2 linked regions of the Callithrix jacchus genome follow. The protein of the gene in region 2 interacts with the protein of the main gene of each other region in a biochemical or structural test. Links are inferred from orthologs where the notes say so. Each region holds a gene or a part of one and is shown on either strand. Other genes may lie near its edges.

Region 1 (4,302 bases), on a different chromosome or scaffold from region 2:
ATGGCAATCTACACAGGATGTGGGGAAGGGAGGATGCAGTGAGATCACAGATATGAGAGCATCTTGGAAATAAAAATGTACCTGCAAGAGGTGGTGGTGATTTTTCTGACCCAGGTCAGCTTCTGTCAGAGCTAGCAGAAAGACCGGGTGGCACCGCATGGGGCCGCAGGGGGCGGGGGGCTGGCTTCCACTGCTGTGCCTGAGGATGCTGTGGCTATTGCTAGGTGGGATGGGAGGAGTGGGAGGGAGATTGTGAAAAGGGAATTGTCTGCTTGACAGGTTTTTGAATTAATAAAGGAGTATAGGCGCAAACTCCAAGCACTTCGCTGTACCTGGCCTAACCTCTGTCCCAGTTGCTCCCTGAGGCCGCTCTGCCCCCACCCCTCTGAAAGCGGCTCTGTGTGGGAACACCTCTGGGGACTGGGAACCCCACTGCCCCCAGGTAAAGTAACCCTGTTTCCTGGCCTGTCTCGGACAGGGATGTAGGCCTCGTTTGATCCTCTTTCAGGACATTTGGCCTTGGATTGTCTGTGGCTTTGGTGGTCCGCTGTGACTTCCTGTCTACTTGAGCCTTGCTAAGGCAGACTCTACTCCCTCCCTCACAAGCAGCCAGGCCTCCAGCAGGTCCTCCAGCATCCATCTTGGCCCTAAGAGGCTCGGTCTGGGCACGGAGTTGTTGAGATCCGGCTGGAAGTCCTTGGGCCAGGGCCAAAGGCCCCACCCGGGCTCCCCCGATGTCCCGCCCCCCCCCGCCCCCTTTATTCTCCCAAAAGAAAGAAGCTGCTTCCCACTTTGGAAACGTTTATTCTGAGCACCGGGAAGGAGAGCGGCGGCTGGCGCCTCACTGGGAGCTCAGCTCTTGGTGTACTCCTCGAGCGCGCTCAGGAAGCTGGCCTTGAAGCTCTCCAGCACGGGCAGCAGGCCTTGGCGAAGGTCCTCGAGCAGGGGCTTGGCCTTCTCGCCGAGTGTGCTCAGATGCTCGCTGGCCTTGGCGTGGTACTCGGCCAGGCTGGCGCCGCCGCTCTCCTTGAGCGCCTCGAGGCGCGTGGCCAAGCGCTGGCGCAGCTTGTCGCTGTAGGGTGCCAGTTGTGTGCGCAGCGTGTCCACGTGGACGCGTGCGCGGTCGCGCACCTGCTCTCCCAGCGAGCTCAGCTTCTCCTGCAGATCCTGCAGCTTCTGGAGCGCGCCCTCCTGGAGCTCCGTGCGCAGCGGTTCTAACTTCTGGGAATAGAGTTTCATCTCCTCCTCCCACTTCTTCTCGAAGTCGTCCAGGTAGGGCTGCACCTGGGCCTTCACCTCCTCCAGGTCCTTGCTCATCTCCTGCCTCAGCACCTCTGTCTCCTTTTCCAGGTTTTCCCAGAACTCCTGGGTCACCGGGCCGAGCTGTTCGCGCAGCTTGTTGACAGTGGAGGTCAAGCTGTCCCAGTTGTCCAGGAGCTTCAGGCTGGACGGGGAAACACAGTGGTTGAGGGCTGGCCTCCCAGCGCCCCAACCAACCCGGGGTGAGTCCTGGGCGACACCTGTCCGCGAAGGTGCAGTGGCCTAGAGTTTCAACACTCTCAAGCAACACCTCTGCCCTGCCCTGCCATGCCCCGTTGTGCAGCTGGACCGAGGCACAGAGAGGAGCTAAGAAAGAGACAGAGCTGGGACTGGTGCCCAGTTCTCTGGTCTCCAAAATGGGCCCTTGAAGGACCTCACCTCTCTGCCTCCAGCATATTCTCCTCTCCCAAGACAGCCCACACTTTTGCTGGGCAGGAGCAGAGGAGGTGACGAAGGGCAAGGGGGCTGCTGCACTTGTAGGCACAAGCTGGCGTTGTTACCACAGATCAGGCAGCCCTGGTCTGACCTTTGCAGGGGGCATGGGCTGTGACTCTGCCCGGGGCTCCCATTCCGGTCTCTGCATCCAGACCATTTGTGGGGCCCAGCTCGTCAGATAGTAGGTGAGGACTCACCAGTCTGGATTCAACATCTTCCCACAGGCCTCTGCCCCCTGCCCCTGCCCTCAACCCCAGGCTGGGTCCTTACTTTAGCTGTTTTCCCAACATGGAGCTTTCAAACTGGGACACATAGTCTTTGCCGCTCTCTTTGACTGAATCCACGTACACAGTGGCCAGGTCCTTCACTCGATCCCAGGGGCTCTGGGGAGGTTCATCTTGCTGCCAGAAATGACGAGCCTGGCTCCCTGAGGGTGGGAGGGGAGACTCAGATCAGGCCAACTGTGGGCTGGGATCTGAGCCAAAAGGCCAGGCTTGGAGATGGGAGAGAGGGGGCCAGTGAGAAACCTGCTGCCTCTGCCCAGGAGGGTGAGCCAAAGGGGTTTAGGGAGAAAGCCCCCCAATGGTTGGTTCCCTAGGCTGGGGGACACCTACCCGTCAGGAAGAGCATGGCCAAGGTCAGCACCGCAGCTTTCATCCTGAAGGGCTGTGGGGGACCTGGAGGAGAAGAAGGGCCTGGCTGAGTGGCGGCAGGAGGGGTGTGTCTCTAGCATGCTGAAGCCCCCTGCTCCCCCCACTCATTACAGCCAGGTGAGGAGAATGTGCACAGAGTGGGAGAAGACCTCAGGTTCCCAGAAGCCTGGCTTGGGGCAGAGCCTGAACCTCGATGCCTCGCCTCGAGCTGGGTAGCCAGAGTCACCCGGGACAGGCAGCAGCACTCACCTCCTTCTTGGGCAGGCAGAAACACTCACCTTCTTCTGGAAGACTAAGTAGCCAGCTCTCGCAGGGCCTATTTATGTCTGCAGCCAGGGGCTGGGCAGGGAGACAGATAAGCCCAGCCTGGGCCCTGCTGCTGCTCACTGGTCCTGGCGATGTGGAACTCAAGAGTTCAAGGATCAGCTCTGTCCCTGGGGAAGGGCAAATACAGTGGGCAAACAGCGAGCTGCCGAGCTGCAGGGCTGCAGGGCAGGGGTCAAGGGTTCAGTGGGGGCGGGAGGGGAGTGGCTGCAGGCTTGCAGGTCTCCAGGGTGGGGTCGGGGTTCCCTGCACTCATCCCCTTCCCCTCCATGGGAGTGTGTGGGCGGTTGCCATTGTCCATTGTGCTGGCAGAGGGGAGGGGAGGGACGCTGGGACTCCTCCACCCAGGAGACCTCCTCCCCCACCATCCTGCATTCCAGGGAGACTACATCACTCCCACCCCTCTTCCCCCACCCCTTCCTCCCACCACTGTGCTTCTTTGGTCCCCAGCAGGTCCTGCAGGCCTCTCTCCAAGTCCCCCAAATTGGTAAACCTGGGGAGAGGGGAGAGGGCTCTGTGGTACCCAGACTGAGGTTTCAGAGACCTCTTGCCTTTCAAAACACAATAGAGACCAATCCAGAGCTGCCAACTTTTAATTTTGTCATGTAAAGATATCGTCTGCCTCCAAAAACCCTCATGTCTACCATGACCATCACTTCAAAAAGGAAAGACTTTAGCAAAAAAAAAAAAAAAAAAAAGGGGGGGGCATAACCTCAGAATAACATTGCAGAGTTGAAGTCCCTTAGAGTGAAGACGCCTTCCTTTGCATTGTTCACACATTTGATGATACACAGGTGAGACGATATCCTAGCCCTTGGAAGCCCTGGTGTGGGAAGAAGACCCCTGGGCAAGGAAGTGGCCGGAGACCTGCTTTCCCGTTTTACTCGGCCTCCATCTTGCTGGAGGAAGACAGTGGGCAAGTTATGTAATCTCTCTGAGCCTCAGTTTCCTATCTGCAAAATGGGGCAAGAATGGTCAGAGTTGTCAGAGGCCCCCGAGACAGCCTGTGAATGCATCCGTTGGTGTTTGCAGCACCATCTTGTAAGGTTTCTCCGGGAAGGCCCAGACCTCCCACAGCAGGTTACTGACAGAACCTGAGTCCTAGAGCCTGTGATGCAGGCTGAGAGGAACTGTGAGATCACTCCAGCCTCTCCCAACACCACCGTCTCACAGATGAAGAGACTGAAGAGCATGAAGGGACTTTGCCCAAAGGCTCTCATCTCTCAGGGAGTTAGAAGAAAGGCTGGACCTAGAACCCGGTCTCTGGACTTAGGACACATGGCAGAAATGTACCCTGCACCTTCAGCCCGGGAAACTCTAGAAACCAGCCTGACGTCTCTGTTTACCAGATCGGGGAGTGGTCGGCCTCATGCCTTTTATTTCAGAGAAGATTCTGGAGCCAGAAAACCTTAGATTTGATTCCCAGCTCTGCCACTTATTAGCTGTTTGACCCTGGATGAGTTATGCTATGTAACCTCCTCACACATAGTTCCTGATTGAAGATAATGATAGAACATGCCATCGCCCTGAGTTATGGCCGGGTTACTGTGTGGATAACATCCCTGAAGAT
Region 2 (4,252 bases):
GCTTGAGCTAGGGAGATTAAGGCTGCAGCTATGATTGTGCCACTGCACTCCAGCCTGGGTGTCAGAGAGAGACCCATGTCTTTTTTTTTTTTTTAGACAGAGGTTCGCTGTTGTTACCCAGGCTGGAGTGCAATGGTGCGATCTCGGCTCACCGCAACCTCCGCCTCCTGGGTTCAGGCAATTCTCCTGCCTCAGCCTCCTGAGTAGCTGGGATTACAGGCACGCGCCACCATGCCCAGCTAATTTTTTGTATTTTTAGTAGAGATGGGGTTTCACCATGTTGACCAGGATGGTCTCGATCTTTTGACCTTGTGATCCACCCGCCTCAGCCTCCCAAAGTGCTGGGATTACAGGCGGGAGCCACTGTGCCCGGCTGAGACCCTGTCTTAAAAAAAAAAAAGGCAGGTGGGGCTTCCTGAGGACTGGGGTGTGGGGATGCTGGGGGGTGTGGGGATGGTGGAGGGTATGGGGATGCTGGGGGGTGTGGGGATGGTAGGGGGTATGTCGATGCTGGGGGTGTGCTACCTGTTCTCCCTTGGACATGTGTCTGTCTGCTATTTGTGTGGCTTGTGCTGCAATGGGGGTCACAGAGTTGTGGTCCAGGAAGGGGGAAACGAGATGGTGTCTATTTGATGTTTATTGGTGGTGTCTGATGAGTGTTTCTCTCTTCAGACTGTGAGCCAGCTCCCAGGGTACAGCGGGTAGGGAGTAGGTGGTAGCTGTCAGTGCTGGGCCCTGGTGCCACTCCCTAGGGAAGGGCAGGCGGGGCTCTGAGGGTCTGGCGCTAGCTCTGGCAGATCCATCCCTAGTAAAGCACATCCCTGGGCAAAGGCATTCATGCAAATGGAAGGCAGGCAAGGGCCAGTTAGGCAGGTTCTGGGGCTACAAGGAACAAACCTGGGGGCAGCGAGCTGGGGTTTTCTTTCCAGTGTTCACTGCCCCTTTGCCATCACTGACACAGACTCTGGAAGGAGCCACCCTAATTGCTCAGGCCAGGGTCACTGCTCTGGGGGCCAGTGACAGCAAGCTTGCTGGTCCAGGGGTGGTAGACAACACCCCCAGAGGCCACTGTAAGCAGGAGCCGCAGTGAAGGCAGGCCCAGGATCAGCTTCGTCTTACCACCCTCCCCTCTTTGGGCCTAAGTGATCAAGGCCCTCTCACCTGAGGCCAAGACCAGCATGGGTTTGATGGAGCCACCCCAGGGAGCCCCAAGAGAGATGAAGCCATCAATGAAGCGGTCCTTCCAGGCCTGGGGCTGGCGCAGCAGGAAATAGAGCAAGTGTAGGCAGCCGAGGCTGTGACCGATGAGGAAGACAGGCTTCCCATAGGCAGCGTGCATCTCCTCCACCAGCCCCGCGAGCTTGTGGTAGTACTCCTCCTGCTGGCCTGAAGTGGGTGAAAGGGGTCAGGGCAGCTGGGGTGGGGCCACCTGTCCAGCCCCAAGCCTGTCCTCGGCAGAGACTCACCAGGCTCCAGCCGCCAGTCATAGGGGGCAGCACGCACAGTCTCGTCCCGCACGTAGCCATTGTTGACCAGGTTCTGTACCAGCGTGTGCAGGTACCCTGTGGGGGAGGCAGCAGCACTGGGAGCTCGGGCCATGCCTGCTTCGGGCCAGCACCCCGGCCTGGAGCCCCGGCCCTGCTCTCTGACACACACCTGCCAGCTTGCTGCTGTCCAGATACTCCACAGAGTAGGTCTTGCCAAAGCCAGGGACACGGATCTGGACACCAGGGGCGTTGGACACAAGCCCGGAGCTCCGGTTGTAGACAACCCTAGGGGCGGGGTGCCACTCAGCAGCCAGTAGCTGTGGGGCAGCATGTGGGGGCTGGGGTGGAGCACGTGGCTGTACCTGGTGTTATCGATCCAGCAGTCTACCCCGAGGGGTAGGAACATGTTAAGATCCAGCCAGATGGTGAAGAAGTCCTCTGTCTTGCGGTAGCACATCCAGTTCACCACATCTGGTTTGTCCAGCTTGGCTTCTAGCTGATTCCCCAGGCAGCCGGGCACTGTGAGCAGCGGCCCTCACTCTGGACTCTGGATTCCCCCCCGTGACCCTTACCCCAGTCACCCCAGATGCTGCAGTGACCAGATCTGCCCCCCACCTCCCACACCCTCAACCCCTAGGTACAAAGCACACTTACCCTCCCCCGCTCACATCCCCTCTCCCTGCTGTCCCCCCAGTAGCCAAAGCCCAGGCTTTCCTGAGGAAGGGAAGGTGTTGGGGTCGAGGCCGCTGACCCCTGCCTCTACAGAGCAAACACCCATCCTGGCACTCCTTTATTGCCAAAGTCCAAGGTGGGAACAGATAGGTCTGGGGGCGTGGGGGCTGGGCCTAGCAAGGCCAGGCATGGATGGGCCTCTCCTGCTCGATGGCCCTAGGCTGGGCATCCTGTCTTTGGTGGGTGGGGGCCAAGGAAGGAGTGGTGGGGCTTGGCCCAGAGTCTGGTGTGGCTGTGGCTGACCACAGCTTGTGATGCCCCAGCCAAGACCTCAGGCACACCCCATCCCCCACTCTGCCCCCTGAGGTAGGCAACTGAGAGACAAAGCACTGGGGGAGAAGGGGAGGGTCATTCCTCTACTGGATAAGCTTTTGGCCCCTCCCCACACTGAGGCAGATACTGGGGCTTAAACAGGACAGAAGGGCTTTGGCTGGGTCGGCTGCTGGCGCGGTGCATCAGGGGCCTGGCGGGGGCTTACCGAGGATGACAGGCCGTGTGTGGTTACTGAGCTCAGCCTTGGGCGTGGTGTGCGGGGGGAAGAGCACATTGAAGAGCCAGAAGGGGGCGGCAGGAGGGAGCAGCAGCCCCAGCAGCAGCGGCACCCACTGCCATGGGGAGCCAGGCGGCCCCATTCCAGCCCTGGTGCCTACTGCCAGAGAAAGGAGCACTGGGCTGGCCTTATGTGGTGTGGGGGTGGGAGGGGCCCTAGGGCCAGTGGGAGGGACAGCCTGGCCAGTGGGAGTGGTGGCCAGAGATTGCCGGAAAGGGGCACAGCCTCAGGGGCCGGCTATGGGCCTGAAATCAGTCCCGCCTTCTTCTCTTGGCGCCAGGGGAAACAGAGCGGGAGCAGCAGGAGGCCCAGAATACACAATGTTTTATTGAAAAAGTCAGGCCTCAGCTTGCTGTTTCCATTCGGCTCAGCTTGGTGGGGGGCCCTGCCAGTAGTAGACTGAGCCAGATCTTCCTGCAGGCGGCTGGGCTGGACCTCCTCCCTGGCTACCCTTCCCTTCGTCTCTGATGGTGACATCCAAACAATAAATATGCAATAAATAGCGCTCCTGAGCTGGGCTGGGCCGGCTACCTTCAAACCCCACTCGGCCCCCACCAGTCTTCTCTGGCCAGGACAGGCCTACTGGGGTGCTAGATGGTGAAGTCCCCAAACCTCCCAGGGTCCCACAAGACCTCGGCTCCATCTCCATTTAGAGGCCCAGACCTGGTTTCCAAGGAGACCTAGCAAAGCTGGGTCCAGGACAGGGCCAGGCAAGCAGAGCTGGCAGGTGGGTGCTGGGAGGAGGCTGTTACCCCAGACCACAGCTTGTGATATCCCGGCCGCGACCTCCACTCCAGGCCACAAGACGACACTGGGCTCAGGAGTAGATGGTGATGACTTCACGGCCACCACCACGCACCAACAGCACCCGCTCAAGGCCCTCAGTCAGCACCTCGAGGAACTCCATGTCTGCAGGACCTCGGGTCAAGGAGGCAGCACCAAGACCAAGAGGCAACCAGGCAACCACACCCACCCAGGGGCACCTGGTAGAGGAGCTGCCGGTCTGACCTCCCACACTGTCTACCTCCCCACTGCCTGCCTCTCCACAAAGGGATACAGTTTTCATCACCTTCACTGTTCTTGGGTGGGCCAGGCATGTTTAGGAGAACCAGGCGGGCATCGTGGGAGCGCGTGACAATGACTTCATTGAGCTTCACAGCGGTGTGCATACGCCGTACATTGGATTGGTCCCTACATGTAGTGTAGCCAGTCACAGGTCACCATGAGCTGCCCTGGCCCACCTAACACAACTTGTCTGCCCCACCCCACCTCTGCCCCTAGATTCCAGCGCAGCAGGGTCTGTTTTTGCTGCACTTACGGCTTAATATGCACCAGCTCCCGGAAATTGTCAGGGGTGTGGCTGGGGTCCCAGGGCTCAGTCATGTACTTGTCCCTGGTCCATGTCATCTGGATCTTATCAGCCCCCATTGCAGACTCATCTTCCTCATCCGAGTACAGGCCTTCCAGCCGCAGGGCCGAGTGC

What was found.
Region 1: the proteins of LCAT (region 2) and APOA1 form a complex in vitro, tested with the Homo sapiens proteins (6 studies listed by BioGRID and IntAct, with this or other methods). The link is inferred for Callithrix jacchus from reciprocal best matches to the Homo sapiens genes LCAT and APOA1.

Annotation. Positions count from the first base shown.
Region 1 is NC_133511.1:16,472,742-16,477,043, forward strand, and holds APOA1 (apolipoprotein A-I), read right to left. Parts: upstream 2,861-4,302; 5' UTR 2,687-2,860; exon of another isoform or gene 2,658-2,686; intron 2,433-2,657; 5' UTR 2,413-2,432; coding exon 2,370-2,412; intron 2,183-2,369; coding exon 2,026-2,182; intron 1,445-2,025; coding exon 853-1,444; 3' UTR 785-852; downstream 1-784. UniProt on the Homo sapiens protein: Participates in the reverse transport of cholesterol from tissues to the liver for excretion by promoting cholesterol efflux from tissues and by acting as a cofactor for the lecithin cholesterol acyltransferase (LCAT).
Region 2 is NC_133521.1:25,473,881-25,478,132, forward strand, and holds the start of LCAT (phosphatidylcholine-sterol acyltransferase), read right to left. Parts: upstream 2,874-4,252; 5' UTR 2,852-2,873; coding exon 2,698-2,851; intron 2,035-2,697; exon of another isoform or gene 2,007-2,034; coding exon 1,850-2,006; intron 1,773-1,849; coding exon 1,657-1,772; intron 1,563-1,656; coding exon 1,467-1,562; intron 1,387-1,466; coding exon 1,162-1,386; intron 1-1,161. Other genes in the region: SLC12A4 (solute carrier family 12 member 4), read right to left, coding at 3,587-3,678, 3,827-3,960, 4,088-4,252. UniProt on the Homo sapiens protein: Central enzyme in the extracellular metabolism of plasma lipoproteins.